2 linked regions of the Nothobranchius furzeri genome follow. The protein of the gene in region 2 purifies or fractionates together with the protein of the main gene of each other region. This does not show direct contact. Links are inferred from orthologs where the notes say so. Each region holds a gene or a part of one and is shown on either strand. Other genes may lie near its edges.

Region 1 (9,359 bases), on a different chromosome or scaffold from region 2:
TCTTACAGGAAAACTCTGAGCCGGATGTGAGCTGTTGCACGCCCGAGACTCAGCAAGACGATCCTCTCCAGGTGAGATTTTCCAACAGAAATAGAGAAAATATTAAATTATACAAGTAAAGCTTTCTATCCAGCAGTTTCTTTAATGTGGACTCCTGTTCTCATGTTCGTAGATCATCGATAGCATCATTGAGGAGAGTCAAAAGGGAAGCGCTGATGCTGGTGAGGTGGCTCAGTTGTTGGATGAGCTCCATGTTGATGTTAGAGCAGAACCAAAGGAAGAACTGTCCCCAGAGAACGTTCCTGCGGAGAAATTAGCTCCGGCTGTTAGGCTTGAGCTAGTCGAAGGGTTGGAGGAGCAAGAGAAAAGCGTAGCAGCAAATGGGGAATGCTCTTTACCGGATCCTGGACCTACAGGCGCTCTAGGTCCATCATCTGCATCACAAGAACAGGTACAACCTCCAGATATCACCAGCACCATCGGACAGAGTCGGCCTGAAGCTGCTGTCGTGGCTCCAGGAGGCCAAAGGGAGCAGAGGCCCGCAGACCTCTTAGACCAAGTCCCCCTAACAGACAGGCCGTCTGATTCAGACTCACCGGGGCCTTTGAAACCCCCCCGACAATTCACAGTAGAACCAGATATTGTAGCCAGCACAAAAAAGCCTCCCCCCTCTCGCCCACCCCCACCTGTTGGCGGTCCCCCACGTAGACCTCCCCCACCCTCCAGGAACACCATACCCTCCAAGAAGTCCCAGGAGAGCCTGAGGCCGTGTGGACTGGACGGTGAGGAGACGTTGGAGTCATTTTTACTCAGTTTAAACATTTTAGCTCAAAATGTGAATTATTGTTGACCATTTATGCGGCAAAATGGCAAACACATTTCTCTGTGTGTTCTTATTAAACAAAAGGTGATCATGTGGACAAATCTTTTATTTATTCAGACTGTCAAACAGACAAATGACAGTTTAACCTGAAGGGTGTGACTCATGCTGCGTTGGGAGGATTTAGGTCGTTTTCTGTGCTGTGATTTCCTGTGTGATTCTCCAGTTTCTGCAGTGAGTTCGGTCGGCTGTGATTCTCTGGATCCCTCCGGTCTGGTGTCTCCCTGCAGCACAGTGACGAGTCTCACCAAAGATCTCCAGCATTCCTTGGATCTGGCCAGTGCCACCAGCGGGGACAAGGTGGTGACGGCACAGGTCAGTGGGGCCGTGGACCAGAGCACTTCACCCTCAGCCGCTCTAAGATCAGACTTTTAATTTCAATGTATTTTTGTCTTAGGAACATGAGGACGAACAGGCCTCATCGCAGAGTGTAGGACATGCCGCAGGTCCTCAGCGCCCACGTTCCAACTCTGGTAGAGAACTAACAGATGAAGTAAGAGTCTGTGTGCTTTTTCTCATTCATTAGCATTTAATGCCTGCCATGCTGAATCTTTTCCTGAGTTAATGTGTGACAATAGCAGTAAATCAGGGATTGGCAGCCTTATGAAAACGTTTCTTTATGGTTTTCAAATAATCTGATTTTCTACAAAACCATACTTGTGTGTAATCCTTGAACAGGAAATACTGGCCAGCGTGATGATCAAGAATTTAGACACCGGTGAAGAGATTCCTCTGATTCAGGCAGAAGAGAAACTTCCAGCAGGCATCAACCCTCTCACTCTGCACATCATGAGGAGGACCAAGGAATACGTCACGTAAGCAGGAAATCATTTGAAATGGCTCCGTGGGTACGTGTAGTTAAGTAGCTAACAGGAAAGTCCAGCTTTCACAGGTGAACTGGTGTTGCTTTGGGTGTGTGCACGTTGCACACATTCAAACCATTTTCTGAATCAAATAAGGAAACCTGTGGGATTTTCTTTTCTCACTCAGGAATGACGCAGCTCAGTCGGATGATGACGACAAGTCTCAGACTGCGCTAATGGACACAGATGGTGGAAAACTGAAGCAGAAAACGTAAGGGTTCTTCGGTTTGACTCGCCCTGTTCCCTCATGATTTAACTTTGGAAGTGAAAAAGAATTCTCCTTTTGGTTTACAACCAGAACTCAGCTGAAAAAATTCCTGGGCAAGTCTGTGAAAAGGGCCAAGCATCTCGCTGAGGAGTATGGAGAGAAGGCGGTCAATAAGGTCAAGAGCGTGCGTGATGAAGGTATTTTGTTTGTTTTTGAAGCATTTGAGCTGCCGTTAACATGTTTTCATGCAGAGACTTTTTAGTTTTGTTCTCCTCTGAAGTGTTCCACACAGATCCGGACGACCCTTCATCGAGTGATGATGAGGGCATGCCTTACACCAGACCTGTAAAGTTCAAGGCCGCTCATAGCTTCAAGGGTCCTTTCGACTTTGATCAGATCAGAGTTGTGCAGGACCTGAGTGGAGAGCACATGGTAGGACGATCCCAGCCCTGCTGGTTATTGTTTCTGATCAAAGTCGGCATCCTAAAACCTCCATGCTGTCCTCCAGGGGGCCGTTTGGACAATGAAGTTTTCTCACTGTGGGAGGCTCCTGGCAACGGCAGGCCAGGACAACATCGTTCGCATCTGGGTCTTAAAGACTGCCTTTGATTACTTCAATAATATGAGATTAAAGTACAACACTGATGGTCTGTTCTCTAGGAACCCTGATGGTGACCTGAATGGTGATAGATCCTGTAGCTAAATAACGACTCGCGGTTTCATTCTTGTGATATTTTGGCTCCTCCAGGTCGAGTTTCCCCTTCTCCTTCCCAGGAAAGTTTATGCTCCTCTAAATCTGACACTGATCCTGGGGTGAGTCTCCAACAGCTCTTGATGATGAGCAACTTTTCATGTTGTCAGTGTGTAAAAACAATAATCAGATACTTAATAAAACTGAAGGATTCTGAGTCGTTTTTGTGTTTTAGACGAGTTGTATTCCAGAGGACCCGGATACTGAAGACAGACATACTCCTTTCCGTCAAGTCCCCTTCTGCAAGTACAAGGGTCACACTGCTGACCTGCTGGACCTGTCCTGGTCCAAGGTGATTGTCTCTCTTATTTCACAATTGAGCTCTCTTCATGCTTTTAGTCCGTTTTTGTTTCAGCTTTTCCGTTTTGTGTTTCTAGAACTTTTTCCTGCTCTCTTCTTCTATGGATAAGACGGTCCGATTATGGCACATATCCAGGAGAGAATGTCTCTGCTGCTTTCAGCACATAGATTTTGTCACAGCCATTGCTTTTCACCCCAGAGTAAGTGGAGTCGGGTCGGCTCAGCATCGTCTCGGTGCAAACATCTGTACATCTGCTGGTTTTATGGAAGCGTTTGGTCCTCCTTCCTCCCCAGGATGACAGATACTTTTTAAGCGGCTCTCTGGATGGAAAACTACGACTTTGGAACATTCCAGACAAGAAGGTGGCGTTGTGGAATGAGGTGGATGGCCAGACTCGGCTCATCACTGCAGCCAACTTCTGCCAAAATGGAAAGTATGCGGTCATCGGCACGTACGACGGCCGATGCATCTTCTATGACACCGAGGTATCGTGCTGCTCAACCGAACACATCAGTTTGCTCTTTATAGGAATCACGAGTTTGAAATATGATTTCCTCTCATCCGCCATTAGCGTCTGAAATATCACACTCAAATACACGTGAGGTCCACCAGAGGGAGGAATAAAGTCGGACGCAAAATTACTGGGATTGAGCCTCTGCCTGGTGAAAATAAGGTAAACCCCGCCCCCCCCCAGACTTACCAGCATGTTCAAGTCTCTGTAATGAAGCTCTGAAACCACCTATCCTCCACAGATTCTGGTCACTTCCAATGATTCCCGCATCCGCCTATACGACCTGAGGGACTTGTCTCTGTCCATGAAGTACAAGGGTTACGTCAACAGCAGCAGCCAGATCAAGGCCAGCTTCAGGTGAGGAAGGTTTCCCATCAGACTGGAGAAAAGCAGTCTGGTTAAAAACTAGGGATGCACAATATATCGACATCAGTATCGGCAGATGGTTTTAACATATCGCTATCGGTCTGATAAATAGAACTGGGCCGATATTAACAACCGATATTTTTTCCATCTTGTTTCCATTTAGTGATTTCAGAGGGTGAGGGGGGTGATGTGTGTTTTAGTCATGTGACAGTGATTGTAATCATCTCAGAAGCATAAATGTGTGTGTTGTGTGTACATAACGTAAAATCAGCTTTAATCATTTTCTTTCTCTACAAAATCTGCTGGTTTTAGAAGCATTAATGTCAGTATATCCGCATTGGCAAATATCTGTTATCGGCAGGGCTGCACAATATAGCGCAAATATATTGTTATTGCGATATCAGCATGCACAATATGCATATTGCAAAGGACAGATAAATATTGCAATGGTCAGCTCAAATGTTTGCTACACATAATGCATTCTGTCAAACAGAAGCATGACGTATTTTTAACAACTCAAATAGAGCTTTTCACCCATTTGGCCAATTGGGTGGGTTCTCCTAGGTTAGATGCCCGCCCCCGAGGCAGACGGCACTTAATTTTGATGGTTAGCAAACACCTGAGTTAGGTTTGTTCTGCTCTTTTTGCTGATTGTGCTTTTCCCGGGATCCACTGGTTGCATTTTCTTGTTCATTTTCATTTTCCCTTTCCTCATCTTTTGCTTTTCTCATTTTTATGATTTTTTTGGTCATTTTTTTCATTTCTTTGTTTATTGCAAGTAATATCGCCATCACAATGTTAATCTGTTATCGCATATTGCAGGTTTTCCTAATATTGTGCAGCCTTAAGTAATCGAATATCTGCATCGCCCCAAAAGTTTCATATCGGTGCATCACTATTAAAAACAAATGTCTTCTTACAGCCATGACTACTCCTTTATCGTGAGTGGCTCTGAGGATAAATACGTGTACATCTGGAGCACTTACCACGATCTAAGCAAGTTCACATCCGTACGACGGGACCGCAATGACTTCTGGGAAGGGATCAAAGGTACCTGCACTGTTTATTAAAATTGACATTCCTGTGGTGTGAACTCCGTTTTGCTACAGCAGCTGCTCTGTTTTCCAGCACACAACGCGGTGGTCACCTCAGCCGTGTTTGCACCTCATCCAGGGCTCATCGTCCCTCAGGAAACGGGAACGGAGAAGCCAGAAGCGGACCGTAAAAGCCTGGACTCCACAGACTCTGAAACGATACCATCAGGTACGTTCTCCTGGGTTAAGCTCACAGAGAGGCGTTTCTTTCAGCTGAGTAAAGTTCTTGTTTGTTTTTGCAGGCGCCCTAAAAACCGATCACACGGAGGTTCTTCTGTCTGCTGATTTCACTGGAGCCATCAAAGTTTTTATCAATGTTAAAAAGTACTGAGCAGTTCAGGGTCCTCTGCTCTTCATGCACAGGTGTGCCTGTTAAGAGATTAGTCCCTAACGATGGAGGGCATGTCCTAATGGTGATAGATAAGGGACAGAAAACTGTTCACAAGTGACTAAATGAGATTCCTCGTCACATTTCTGTTTTTATCTTTCAAAGCAGGCAAACGTGAAAGGGTTGGTAAACAAATGGAGCTGTTTATGTACATTTATAGCTGAACGGCCCGGTCGCTAAGTTTTTTGCATCAGAATGAGCACCTTCCTGATTTGCGTCTCACATCTCAGAAGAATATGTTGCAACGGTTAAATTCTAATACCTTGTTTTAAATTTGTCTTTTTGTCAAGTTGGATTAAAATCTTATTTATGGTCATTTGTTTTCCCCACAGGAAGTGATTTCCTTTCCTTTAACACCAACCCTTCCATCACATCCGCAGTAAAAGATTCAGTTACTAATGAATCCTGCAGGGTTGTTCAGAAGTCACTGGGTCTCGTTTCTGTGTTCAGCTAAAGCACATTTCATGATAGGACTGTAAATCCGTTAAATGGCAAACCTCCTGCTTTTGTAAACAACTTATGTACTTTCCTCAATAAAACTTTTCAGAAATGCTGGCTGAGCTTTTCTTTTGCAGCCCTGCTAAGTTCTGGCATAAAAAACTATTCAGTAAACAGAATTCATCACCAAAGATGATTTAATGTCAGAATTTGCAGCATTAGATTATTTTAAAAACAAAAATATAAGTAGTTACAGTGTTGAAACTTCACATAGAAAAGGGAGCTGGATCTTGCATGGATGGTTGGAACAGCAGCAGTCAGTGTTTACTCTTCTTCGACTTCTTATGGGAGCGATGTGGCGACCGTGACCTGGACTTTTTGGACTTTAGAACTGGGGATGGTGATCGGGAACGTTTGGACCGTTTGGGAGACTTTTTCCTGCTAAATGGAAAGAAGATAAATTGTAAGAATATGATAAACATCTGTGTTACAATCTTATTTTGTTAGTACTTGCCTTATGGGAGAGCTGCTCCGTGATTTTCGAGCTTGTTCTCCAGTATCGCTGCTCCGTCTTCTGTCGCCTTCATCCTTTCTTTTGCTCTTCTCTCTGTTCCGCCTGTCATCTTTCTGCCCGTCTTTGGACTTTGATCTCTCATTCTTTTCTTCGTTCTTTTCAAACTCCTGCAGCAGAAACATTTCAGTAACTCCAAGTCTTTAATATAATTGAGAACAAGATGCAAATTTCTCCCGTGAGCTTCATTCCACATCCATACTTGACTGATAAACTAATACACTAGGAGAAAAATGTAACCGAGAGCCAGATAAGTTTCAGAACTAGTAACTCTCAAAGGAAAATTTTTTTCTTGATTCCAGTCATGTCCAACAAATGCAACATACATAACTCTGAAACTCTCACCAGACGTGTAGCTACACTTCTCTCCCTGTAGATGGTGCACTTCTGATTAATTCTGGGACTGTGTGTGCTGAGCTGACTCAAGCTATGAGAACATTTTTAGGACTACAGTTTTAATTCTGGCAGAAGAAACAAGTCATAAACTAAAATATTCACCTTCTGTAGCAGTTTGTTTCTGTAGTGCTCCACTTGATGCTGCATGCTCTGTCCGGACTTCCTCGGCCTTTTCCCAGACTCCAGCTCATCCTGGAACTTCATTACCTTTACCTGTGTCAGAAACAGTCCATCAGCTCCACTCCTTACTAAGAGCTTTGACTGATCAGTAGAAATGTGTTTAAAACCCTGGTGGTGGTGTTTCGTTACCTCTACCTCCCTCAGCCTTTTCCTTTTACTCTCAGACACTTGGAAACTTTTGAGGGAGCTCTGGAAAACCGCACTGTCATAGTTTGGTGCACCGGAGGAGTCGGCACTGCTGTCGCTCTCCGAGTCCTCGTCTTCCTCGTGTGAGTTGCTGCTGTTGTCAGGATGGAGAGGAGAGACGTAAACATATCGATAGATCACGTCACTGTTGTAATGAATAAAGAACTGAAACCAATCACTTCGGCCTCACCTAACATTCACTTTATCTTCATCCTCTTGCTCGCCCACAGTGTCCCACTTGGACTCGGCTTTGGCTGAGACAAAAAGAACAATGAGCGGAGAGGATGCCAGAGGCTGGTCCAGTGACAGAGGACATCTGGACGTGTCTTACCATGAGAAAATGTCCCAGTGTCACTGGTTTTCTCCCATTTAGACAAAGGCACCCCAGAAAGACGGTTACTGCTCTCATACACTGAGGACAACAGAGAGCGGGTTCAGGTAAGCAGACACTTAATCACAGAGCACATGAATCTGCTCAGACACCTGGTACGGTTTGGTTTCAGCACCGATGTAGTGAGGTGCAGCAGAAAAAACAAACAGTACACAGAACAGCTGTCCTAAGGGGACATAACAGGGTTTTTGAAGTGCCACTCTAAAGAAATCTCACAACTAAAAACCATCTTACTTGCTGCAAATAGCTGAACGACTTCAGTCTGAAAGGCCTGACCAGCCCAGAGCTACTCCGGTTTTATGCAAACACTATTTAGTAGGCCTTTACACTGCCTGTGATTCTGCATTCCTATGGTGGGCTGGGTTTTGGACAAAAATACCGACTGTGTGTTTACTATTCTTTAAGAATTGTATGTAAAATATATTTAGAGTAAACATTACCTTGAATTGGGAGGAACTGTTTTTACACTCTCCAAATCAGCATCAATGAAGAACAACCCTTAATATTTTTGTTAGAAAACCTTCAGATGGGGTTTTAGATGTCATACGCCCCATGGGTACCTCTTTGTATGCATGCATCAAACTACAGTTTCAGATGGTCCCAAAGGCGGCTGCTCAGGTTCTAACGAACACTAGGAACCATCATTACATTTTCCCAGTACTGGCTGCCCTTCACCAGACCAGTGTTCAGTTTAGGGTTCATAAAAACGTCCCTGCATCTCATCTGTCTGACATTCTTCATCCATGTTGCTTCATGGCCTTTCGTTTGGCTGGACAGCTGCAGCTGGAAGCTCAAACAGCACGTCTGAAATCCAGGGGGGAGCAGACTAGCCCTTAGCTCATCAGTCCTTCCAAACCAAAGCTTTTAGTGAACCGTTTCACAGAAAGCTTAGAAATGACTTTAAATTGTTTACAGTGGACTCACAGGGTATTCCATCTATGTCATCTATAGCAGTGGCCAAAGGAACACCATCTAGATCATCTACAGGTACCCCATCCAGGGGGTCCCAGCCCATGGGGCAGCCGTCGATGTCATCCACTGGAGATCTGCCCAGTCGTAACCCATCTACAAGGGTTCTGTCCAGCAGCACACCATCAAGCTCACGGGACGTATCCTATGAGACAAACAAATTCCTTACCAGGTGTTTGGTGTCCGTTTTATCAGCACCCCCAGATGTTTATATGGAGTTACAATAAGACCTTAGTGCCTGTGCCGAGAGGATAAGCTCACCTCTACCGTCTCTGCTTCCTCTTCTCCTGCTTTGACGAAGCCCAGAAAGATGTTCTGAAGGCGGATTAGATAAGGCTCTGGATATATGGCCCAGTCTTCCCACGCTCTAAAACAATTCATGACCTTTTGCTGCAAAGACAGGACATGAACATGGTTCCTCTTCCCTTCTGTCCCATTTAAGAGAAATGTGGTGACTGTGTGAGGCGACGCATTACCTTAAACTGCTCGGCCTGCAGCCGGGCTTGTATGTTCTTATAGGCGGCATTAAGAAACTCAAATATCTGCGGTAGCTTTGTTTCAAGACTGGAAAAAAAAAAAAGAGATATTTTGGAGAAATGAAATAAAAATAAATTAAATTAGAAGTAATAAATGTGAATGAAAGAAAGCTCCTTACTATTTACGATAATATGATGCACCGGCTACTTTAGCACTAGAGTTGTGCAGAAGGTCTGAGACGAGATACAACCTAGAGATCTGTGAGATGTAAGGAAACACATAAGCAGATGTTTTCTTCTGTGATTACTATGTGTTCACACAGAGACTAGCCTTCTTCTGAAGGGGTGTCGGAAGCACAGAAAACGAGTCGGTGACGAGTCCCACTACTT
Region 2 (9,985 bases):
ATTATGAAAATAATAACGTGTTTGGAGCATCGGTTTGGAGGAGCGTCCTCCGATCCTCTCGTGTGAGCAGTGTCTCTCTCAGTCGCTGATCGAGCGAGCGGAGCACGCCGCATGACATCCTGCTCATTTAACATAATTCACGGCCCAAATCCAACAGAACCGGTCGGGCTGATTCGGTTCCGGTTCGGTCTCAGATTACAACTCCAGCGCTCAGCCCTGCAGTACCAAATTAAGGCGGAACCAGTTGGTAAATGTGGAGGACGCTCACTCTGACAGATTTGGATGCTGCGCTGGACAAACTACATTCCATTATAATCGATTATGGCGTACTCTTCTACGATGCAGAATCGTTTATGTCCCGCATCCCGATGCATCGAACAATTCATGCTACCAGATTATAAACACGAAAATCTGTGTTCATTTACAAACTAGCAATGCGTTCTTTGGTTCTGTCAGACTTTAATCAGAATCAGAATCAGAAGAATTTTATTGCCAGCGCTCCTTTCAGAGCGTAGGAACTTGACTCCACAGTACAACCTGACCAAGGTTACACACACACACACACATATAGACAAGACAGATACAGGCAGACCATGGGAGCAGCCATAACGGCGCTCCTTTGTAGATGAGTAAGGGAATACAGGAGGGAAGTTCAGGGAGGGAGAAAAAAGGCATTAACAGGGTTACACCAGCAGGGTGTAGCGCTCCAATGCAAAAAAAACACCCGACATGTAAGCAACAAACGTCACAGTTCACAACATGAGACCCGGTAGGTAGGGGGGTGGGGCTGGGATCCTGGTTTCATCAGCGGGGGCGGCCTGTGTGGCGCTCAACCAGCTGGCTCCGCAGGTGGGAGGGAGGTCAGGGGAAGCACAGAGAGCAGTGAGTCCTTCAGCTTCATGACCTCGGTAGAGAGCACAATCTGAAGGGGGGGGGGGGGGGGGGGGGGGGGGGATAGAGATTCACAGCATTTGTCTGCATTCCTTCCAGCATGGGGGTTTTGCATGCAACTCCAAGGCTGCTTATGGCGTCAGATTCGATAACAGAACTTTGTTTTGGGTCAGACAGAGATAATTTTTCCTCTCTGCCTTAAGTCTGTATTGATCATTCAAGTCCTCCAGTGAAGCCAATTCAGTGATTAAACATCTCCACACCGTCCGGTGACCCTTTCCGAGATGTTATCAATCCTGCACGCTAACACCGGTAACGCAGCCAAGACATTGTCCAGCTTGCGATTCACCTCGAGCAACGTCCCAGTCTGTGAGGTATCCACCCGGACGGTGCCGTCCATGGATGCGGGTCGCCCTCCAATCGCTCCCATCATCCCAATTTTACGGAAAGCCAGATATCCTCCCACTCCAATCAGAAGAAATCCAACGATCATCAGGCCAAATATCCACATATCTTCGACGTCCTCAATGGACAGCTGAGAGAGACAGATGATATTCCACTTTTTCCAGGAATCGAACATGTATCCCGCTGCATGTGTCCCCTGAGGACAAGCGTGAGCCCCCTCCTCCGTCCTCATTGTAGAAAAAATCTTATCAATCGCGTTGAATGACCAATTAATTAAGTCCATATTGAAAAATAAAAAGGTGATTGCAGAGGAAATGCAGAGAAGCGCTCTGTAGGCAGACGGGACAAAAAGAGCCTTGGGAAAACACAGATAAGGGAGGAAAGGCAGAAGCGTCTGCTCCCTGTGAGCGCCAGAGAAAGGGACTCTATTTAACTCTATTTTTATGAGCAGAGGCTGTTCAGGCAGCTGTAGAGTAAGACTTGAAGTATTTCTAAGTTTTACACAGAAACACGTCGGAATGACTCCATTAATCCCATTTGTTGTTGTCACCAATCTGCTCCTCTACCTCTATCTATGGGTGTTCCTCAAGGGTCGATACTGGGCCCAACCTTATTCAAAATCTGCATTAATAACATTGTTCATGCTATTCGCAGTTCTCATTAGGGTTGGGCATCGTGTGATTTTGAACGATTCCGATTCCAATTCCTCCTTTCGATTCCGGTTCCTATTGATTCCCGATTGCGATTCTTTCAAGACATTCCATGTTTTAAGTGAGCCAGCTAACCACAGGTCCTACTTGATGAAATAATCTTAACTTCAACATGGATTTTAATTCTATGAACAACAACATCACCTTCATTTAGACAAAAACATGTTTTAGAGAAAAAAATGGTAAATGGCCTGTATTTGATACAGTGCCTTTTAGAGTCCTGGAACGCCCCAAAGCGCTTTACAACCAATCAGTCATTCACCCATTCACACACACATTCACACACTGGTGGGGATGAGCTACAATGTAGCCACAGCTGCCCTGGGGCGCACTGACAGAGGCGAGGCTGCCGAGCACAGGCGCCACCGGTCCCTCCGACCACCACCAGCAGGCAACGTGGGTTAAGTGTCTTGCCCAAGGACACAACGACAGTGACAGACTGAGCGGGGCTCGAACCTGCAACCTTCCGATTACGGGGCGAGCACTTAACTCCTGTGCCACCGTCGCCCCCAAAAGACTTGCAGCACAACCAGTGTGTTTGTTTCTGACCACAACCAAAGTCTGGAAGAAGCCTCTGGGATGAGAGGCTAAATGTCTCCAGAAACGTCCAGCTGTTTTCCTACCTGCAGCAGCATTCAGTCAGAGCAGAAACTTAAATGTAGCTGCTGTCAGTAACAATCTAACAGATTTTAAACATTAAAACTCTCAACAGAAATAGTTCAAAAAGGAAATAAAAAATGTTATTTATTATTATTATAACTATTTATTGTGGCAGAAGCTGGTGTGGTCCACCACAGAGAAGCTTTTCTAGCATGATGACTTTAATTATTCTACAGGTTATTGTACGGGGGGCTCGGTGCTGCACACAGACAGCTGGTGTGATCAGCTCTGAAAAGCGTTGATCACAAATTGCAGATCACGTTTATTTTTCACGGAGAAAGGCCACGGATTCCTCTTCCGTCTGCATTCTAGGAATCAAAAAGAAAAACGATTCCGGGAAAAACTAACAGTTAGAACCGGTTCCAATCGATGCTCGATGCCAAACCCTGTTCTCATATACATTTATATGCGGATGACACCTTTGGTAGAGCAGGAAACGCAGGGATGGTAGCCCTCGAGGACGGGAGTTGGTGACGCCTACTTGAGGCAACCTGGAGTTTCATTTTAAAAGTCTGATCAGAAGATGTTTCTGAAACTTCCTGATTGAATCTTCTTCTCCTCCAGAGATTTACCGCATTGTGTCCCAGAAGCAGATGTCTGAGCGCCAGGAGAGCGACATGTCGCCTAGCAACAACGTGGTCAACATCCAGGTGCAGCCCACTGAAAACAAACCAAAGATGCAGTGCTGTCAGAACATCTAGCGCCGCCGTGGACCTGCTGCTACCCCCGCCCCATCCCCAGAGAACAGACTGCTTCGGTATGGAAACATCAAACCGCAGAGTCAAACCTGCAACCTGAACTCTACCTGCCCCACCTTAGTTAACCACCCACCCCCATTGTAAGACTAAGTGCCCCCCCCCCAGCAAAGCCCCATGTCTTTAGGCTACTGCAGGACAGCAGGCGTTTCCTCCCTCGTTAGATCTCCTTCCTGTAGAAGCGCTGACTCGTCTCAGAAACGTCTGAATGTGATTAGCTCCCCTCCTTCATTCCTCCACTTTTTTAATGACTCGTCTCGTATCTTCTTACTATATATAAATATATAAATCTGAAGCACATCGAATTCGCTCTGAAGCATAGTCCTCTGTCCACTCGTCTCCTGTCATTATAGCCCCGCCCCCTCCTATAGTGCAATGTACTGTCTGGAAACCACGTGGATGTATCGAGCGCACGAGCGCCGTTCGATCTGATGTCTGTGATTCTGTTCGCTTTGGGCGTGACTCGGTTTTATCATCACCTCTGCATCAGGTGTCTACGGAGGCCTGAAATGGACAAAAATCAATAAAAAATACATTTAAAAGGCTCAAAACAGTATTAATGTTTATCGATGCTTCTGTATGAATTTAAACTTCATTCTGTTATCAGTGTATTTAGAGCTCTTATTTGTTTCCGTATTTTGTTTTTAATTTACCTTTTAAGTAAATTATTGCACTTTTGAAAATCTGATGTTTTCTTTCATTTTCTCCTATCTTTTATATTTTCATGAGCTTAAATATGACGAGGCCTGTTGGCCGTTCTGGTGTCAGAACTACAGCTGATTTGGAGCTTTTGTGTTATTTTAGCTCAAGGCAGCTAGCCTTGTAGCTTAGAGGCTAAACAGGAAGTGTTTCTGTCCTTTTCTGGCTCCGTTTCAGGATCTCTGTTCGTCAGGAGATCTGAGCCAGCTCTGAGGAACAGACTCCGTCACAAAAGGAAATGGGAATAAAATTAAAGCAGAAATCAGAACAAATAAACACAAAATATAAAGATAAATAAGATAAATAATTAAACACATCTGATGAAAATAAAACAATTTTTAAAATCGGACAGTTTTTGGGCCGTTTTTGAATATGTATATTTTTGTCCTTTTCGGCTGTCCATACACCGCTTCTCATGCAGTGACCATCGCTCTGCTGCACTGCATGCTGGGAAACGACATGGATCTGGGTCAAGGGCAGGACTCCTGAACGTTCCGGTTCCGATGCCTGTGCTGAGATGTGATGAAACCCAAACAAAAGCGATTTAATTTTCACAGATCTAAAGCAGACCTGATTGGGTTTCTGATCCCACCCTAAACAGAACAGGTGAATCCCTTCATGACATTCCTCTGACCCACAGAACCGCTGGCTTGCAAAGATAAAGACTGACCCACGCGGAGGTCCGATTCCTGCACTAAACATCTGTAACTTTGTTCTGGTCAAAGATTAGATTTTTTAGCAGAACCAGAACCACTGTTTTAGAACCAGACTAGAGGAATCGGTCGAGCTGATTCGCAGTACCTCCTGCTGCTTGGCCGCCATCGACCCACATGTTCTGATCCGACCCGATCCTCGTGTGCCGTCACATAAAGCCTACATACACCGAGCTGCCTCTGACTTCCACACAGCGCACGGCTCCACCTCATATCGCCTTACATAGTCATTCAGTCATCAAGTAGTCAGAACCGTGCACGGTCCAACCCGACCCGGTTCGGTCCGGTCTGTAAACCGATGCCTCGCTAATGTCTCAAACCCCTGAGTGTTTGTGTTTAGTTACAGAGGGTAGCTCTGGAGTTTGTGAGCCTGGCTGGTTGTTTGGACCCGCAGCACCGCCAGCCTGACCTCTCCAGAACCAGCAGCTGGTTGACAGAGAATGAGTTCTGATCCAGATCAGTTGATTCCATTGTTGTTTTTTAAAGAAGTGTTTTGATTTTTATCTGGTTGATTCTGTAACTGACTGTAATGAAATGATGTCATTTCACCTAGTTGGAGGTTAATGTGAGAACGGGTCCAAATGGGTCCAAACCAACGCTTTTATGTTTGTACAGATCGATGAATTGTACAATGTGTCAATAACTTAAGTTATCAGTTTATCTTAATAAAGCTCACCAGTCATAAACCAGCAGACTTTCACTTCCTGTTAAACACCAAGTTCCAAGTTTAGAGGTGCCACCACGTCCCAAAGGTTCTGGACTGGTCTGAGATCTGAAGGTCGTTGGGAGACCTGTGAACTCATGGTCATGTTCTAGAAACCAGTTGGGGAAGATGTGAACTTTGTGACATGGTGCATGATCCTGCTGGAAGTAGAAGATGGGTCCATGTGGTCAAAGGGATGGACATGGTCACCAACAAGACTCAGGTAGGCTGTGGCGTTGAAACCAAGCTCAGGTGGTACTGATGGGTCCAAAGTGGGATTAGAACACCCCCAACAACTAATACACCACCAGCAGCCTGAAGGGTTGATACAAGGCAGGATGGATCCATGCTTCCGTGTTGGCGACACCAAATTCTGACCTGACAGCTAAAATCCAGACGCACCAGACCAGGAAAGTTTTCTCCGGTCTCTCCTGGTCCAGTTCTGGTGATCCTGTGGGAATTGTAGCTTCAGTTTCCTGTTCTTACCTGACAGGAGAGACACCTGGTGCAGTCCTCTGCTGCTGTGGTTCTGCAGACCTGAGTAGGAACCATAGCTGCTGTTGACTAGAACAAGGTTGGGGTGGTGGGGGCAGAGGTGTTGAGTGCCCACCCTGTAACTGGAGGGTTGTAAGTTTGCATCCCACTCACTTAAGTTGTTGTGTCCTTGAGCAAGACACTTAGATTTTGTGAAGCGCCGTGGGGTTTAGAAGGTGCTAACATTTCAGTATAATTTCTGGTTCCTTTCTGCGGTGTCTGTGCAACTAACAAACCATAAAACCACTCATCTGAGTTCTGACAGGTTTATTCAGTTCAGACTCGTTACACCTACCGAAGCTTTTCTCGGGTTCACGGATGAAAGCGTGAGCAGAAACAAACCATTTTACATCCGGTCAGCTTTGGAGCTCCTCAGGGCTCGGTGCTCGTTCGGCTTTTTTTATGAAATTGTTTTTATTCTGAAACAAAATCATCGTGTTTGACTCTGAGGAAACGCCATCTTTAGCTGCTTGTACAGTTAGTTATACGTCAAAAGGTGAATGACTATATTTAGCATTTTAAAGTCAGTTTTTCAGCTTCATTTCAAACAACTTAATCTCTTAATTGTAACATTAAAAATACTGACCAACAATTATCCTGTAGTACAAACAGTATATACACTCACTGGCCACTTTATTGGGTACGCCTTGGTAGTACCGGGTTGGACCCACTTTTGCTTTCCGAACTGCCTTAATCCTTCGTGACAAAGATTCAACAAGGTACTGGAATCATTCCTCAGAGATTTTGGTCCCTATTGACATGATGCCATTTCACAGTTGTTGCAAATTTGTCGTCTGCAAATCTCCCGTTCCACCACGTCTCAAAGGCTCTCTATTGGATTGAGATCTGATGACTGTGGAGTCCATCTGAGAACAGTAAACTCATTGTCATGTTCAAGAAACCAGTCTGAGATGATTTGAGCTTTAGGACATGGCTCATTATCCTGCTGGAAGAAGCCATCAGAAGATGGGTACACTGTGGTCATAAAAGGATGGATCAGCAAAAATATTCAGGTAGGCTGTGTCAAAGATTATCAGTTAGTACTAAGGGGCCCAAAGGGTGCCAAGAAAATGTCCCCCACACCATTACACCACCACCAGCAGCCTGAACTGTTGATACAAGGAAGGATGGATCCATACTTTCATGTTGTTGACGCCAATTTCTGACCCTACCATCCAAATGTCGCTGCAGGAATTGGGACTCATCAGACCAGGCAACATTTTTACAGTCTTCTACTGTCCAATTTTGGTGAGCCTGTGGGAACTGTAACTTCAGTTTCCTGTTCTTAGCTGACAGTAGTGACACCCGTTGTGGTCTTCTGCTGCTGTAGACCATCTGCCTCAAGGTTCAACTTGTGTGTTCAGAAATGCTCTTCCGCACATACCTTGGTTGTAACGAGTGGTTATTTGAGTTACTGTTGCCTTTCTATCAGCTCGAACCAATCTGGCCATACTCCTCTGACCTCTGGCATCAACAAGGCATTTTCACCCACAGAACTGCCGCTCACTGGATGTTTTCCTTTTTTTGGACCATTCTCTGAAAACCCTAGAGATGGTTGTGTGTGACAATCCCAGAAAATCAGCAGTTTCTGAAATACTCAGACCAGCCCATCTGGCACCAACAAACATGCCACGTCCAAAGTCACTTAAATCACCTTTCTTCCCCATTCTGAAGGACCGGTCGAACGCCATCTCCAAATCCATAAAACACATGTAGTTTGATTGGGCGAACTTCCACGCACCCTCCAGGACCCCCCTAAGGGTATAGAGCTGGCCCAGTGATGATAAACAAATTGATGACATACATAAAATAATTACTCAGAAATTACCCATCCATCCATCATTTGAACCAGCTTGACCACGCAGGGTTGCGGGGGTGGGTGGGGGGGTGCTGGTGTCTATCTCCAGCGGTCAATGGGCAATCAGGCAGGGTACACCCTGGACAGAGAGCCAGTCCATCGCAGCTCAGAAATTATATAAAACAAAAATAATATCTTTGAAATTTGAATCTTAAGCTGCTATTATTATTATTATTAAGATATAAATTGAGTGGTTCTGAAACTAATAAATACGATAAAAAGAACCAACATAAGATGTGTGTATCGAGCATAAACATGACATTTCCCATGAGCCTATGGTGAACCAGTAGGGGGCGTGTCCTGAGAGCAATCGGGGTTTCAGTAAAAGTGGCCCACCCCAAAAACATTTAGATTTTACTTTATGCATTTATATTTAATTAAAATACTTCATTGTGATATTGGAGCCAATGTGGCAACACACACAGCTGTTTCTTTTATTTGTTTTATTCACAAACAAACCCTAACCTGACTCTGGTCCTCAGCTTCTCTCGCTTGATGCTTTTCTGGAGTCCGCCTGGACGACTGGGTTCCTCTCAGGAACCTCATCTGGTTCTGCAATCTACAAACAAGAAGGTCTCAATCTCATCTGTGCAGAAACGAGCTACCAGACCGTTCCTATTCAAAGACTGCCTCTTCTCCAAGAACTCACAAAGATTTTACACATGAGGTCCAGATGAAGGAGGTGCTGTTGGTTCCAGGATGGAAACCTAGAAACTGTGTATCTGTACTGGGTTTAACTATCTTCAGGAGCAGCAGCCTGGTTGTTACTCTCAGGGGTCATCACCTGTAGTAACCATTATGTGACCTTTTAAAAGGAGGAACAAAAGTAAAAATATAATATAATATAAAAACAAAGTTTAGTTTGACTAAAATAATTACTGGTTAGGTTTGTGTTTCCTGTCTCAACAGGCTGAAAATCTATTAATATTTACGTTTTTAAACTTACACTACCAACACTATCTATAGTGGGGACGGTTTGCTGCTGACCTCTACTCAGGAAGTTGTGGATTGGTGGGCAGAATACTTCGAAGACCTCCTCAATCCCACTGACACGTTTTCCAGTGAGGAAGCAGAGTCTGGGGACTTTGGGTTGGCCTCTCAAATCTCTGGTGCTGAGGTCACTGAGGTGGTTAAAAAGCTCCTCTGTGGCAAAGCTCCAGGGGTGGATGAGATCTGCCCGGAGTTCCTTAAGGCTCTGGATGTTGTGGGGCTGTGTTGGCTGACGCGGCTCCGCAACATCGCGTGGACATCGGGTGCAGTCCCACTGGACTGGCAGACCGGGATGGTGGTCCCCTTATTTAAAAAGGGGGACTGCAGGGTGTGTTCCAACTACAGGGGGATCACACTCCTGAGCTTTCCTGGTAAGGTCTATTCAGGGGTTCTGGAGAGGAGGGTCCGTCGGATTGTTGAACCTCAGATTCAGGAGGAGCAATGTGGTTTTCGTCCTGGCCGTGGAACACTGGACCAGCTCTATACCCTTAGGGGGATCCTGGAGGGTGCGTGGGAATTTGCCCAACCAGTCTACATGTGTTTTGTGGATTTGGAGGAGGCGTTTGACCGCGTCCCTCAGGGGGGCCCTGTGGGGGATACTCTGGGAGTATGGGGTACCAGGCCCTCTGATACGGGCTGTTAGGTCCCTGTTTGACCGGGGTCAGAGCTTGGTCCGCATTGCCAGCAGTGAGTCGGGCTCGTTCCCAGTGAGAGTTGGACTCCGCCAAGGCTGCCCTTCGACACCGATTCTGTTCATAACCTTTATGGACAGGATTTCTAGGTGCAGCCAAGGTGTGGAGGGCATCCGTTTTGGTGGCCTGAGGATCAGGTCTCTGCTTTTTGCAGATGATGTGGTCCTGTTGGCTTCATCAGAATGTGATCTTTAGTTTTCGCTGGAGCGGTTCGCAGCCGAGTGTGAAGCAGCTGGGATGAGAATCAGCTCCTCTAAATCTGAGACCATGGTCTTGAGTTGGAAAAGGGTAGAATGCCTTCTCCGGGTCAGGGATGAGGTCCTGCCCCAAGTGGAGGAGTTTAAGTATCTCGGGGTCTTGTTCACGAGTGAGGGA

What was found.
Region 1: the proteins of rab11a (region 2) and wdr44 purify together in Homo sapiens (affinity purification with mass spectrometry; 3 studies listed by BioGRID and IntAct, counting the BioPlex papers as one, with this or other methods). This does not show direct contact. The link is inferred for Nothobranchius furzeri from reciprocal best matches to the Homo sapiens genes RAB11A and WDR44.

The regions. Positions count from the first base shown.
Region 1 is NC_091750.1:46,976,445-46,985,803, reverse strand, and holds the end of wdr44 (WD repeat-containing protein 44), read left to right. Parts: intron 1-8; coding exon 9-71; intron 72-172; coding exon 173-782; intron 783-1,046; coding exon 1,047-1,195; intron 1,196-1,277; coding exon 1,278-1,373; intron 1,374-1,558; coding exon 1,559-1,695; intron 1,696-1,870; coding exon 1,871-1,954; intron 1,955-2,041; coding exon 2,042-2,148; intron 2,149-2,231; coding exon 2,232-2,383; intron 2,384-2,459; coding exon 2,460-2,622; intron 2,623-2,699; coding exon 2,700-2,764; intron 2,765-2,877; coding exon 2,878-2,994; intron 2,995-3,079; coding exon 3,080-3,202; intron 3,203-3,296; coding exon 3,297-3,488; intron 3,489-3,574; coding exon 3,575-3,676; intron 3,677-3,755; coding exon 3,756-3,871; intron 3,872-4,802; coding exon 4,803-4,930; intron 4,931-5,008; coding exon 5,009-5,143; intron 5,144-5,216; coding exon 5,217-5,305; 3' UTR 5,306-5,914; downstream 5,915-9,359. Other genes in the region: zgc:163098 (U2 snRNP-associated SURP motif-containing protein), read right to left, coding at 6,118-6,241, 6,315-6,481, 6,870-6,980, 7,077-7,227, 7,324-7,387, 7,465-7,545, 8,449-8,638, 8,755-8,883 and 3 more. UniProt on the Homo sapiens protein: Downstream effector for Rab11 which regulates Rab11 intracellular membrane trafficking functions such as endocytic recycling, intracellular ciliogenesis and protein export.
Region 2 is NC_091749.1:66,749,480-66,759,464, reverse strand, and holds the end of rab11a (ras-related protein Rab-11A), read left to right. Parts: intron 1-3,230; coding exon 3,231-3,367; 3' UTR 3,368-5,522; downstream 5,523-9,985. UniProt on the Homo sapiens protein: The small GTPases Rab are key regulators of intracellular membrane trafficking, from the formation of transport vesicles to their fusion with membranes.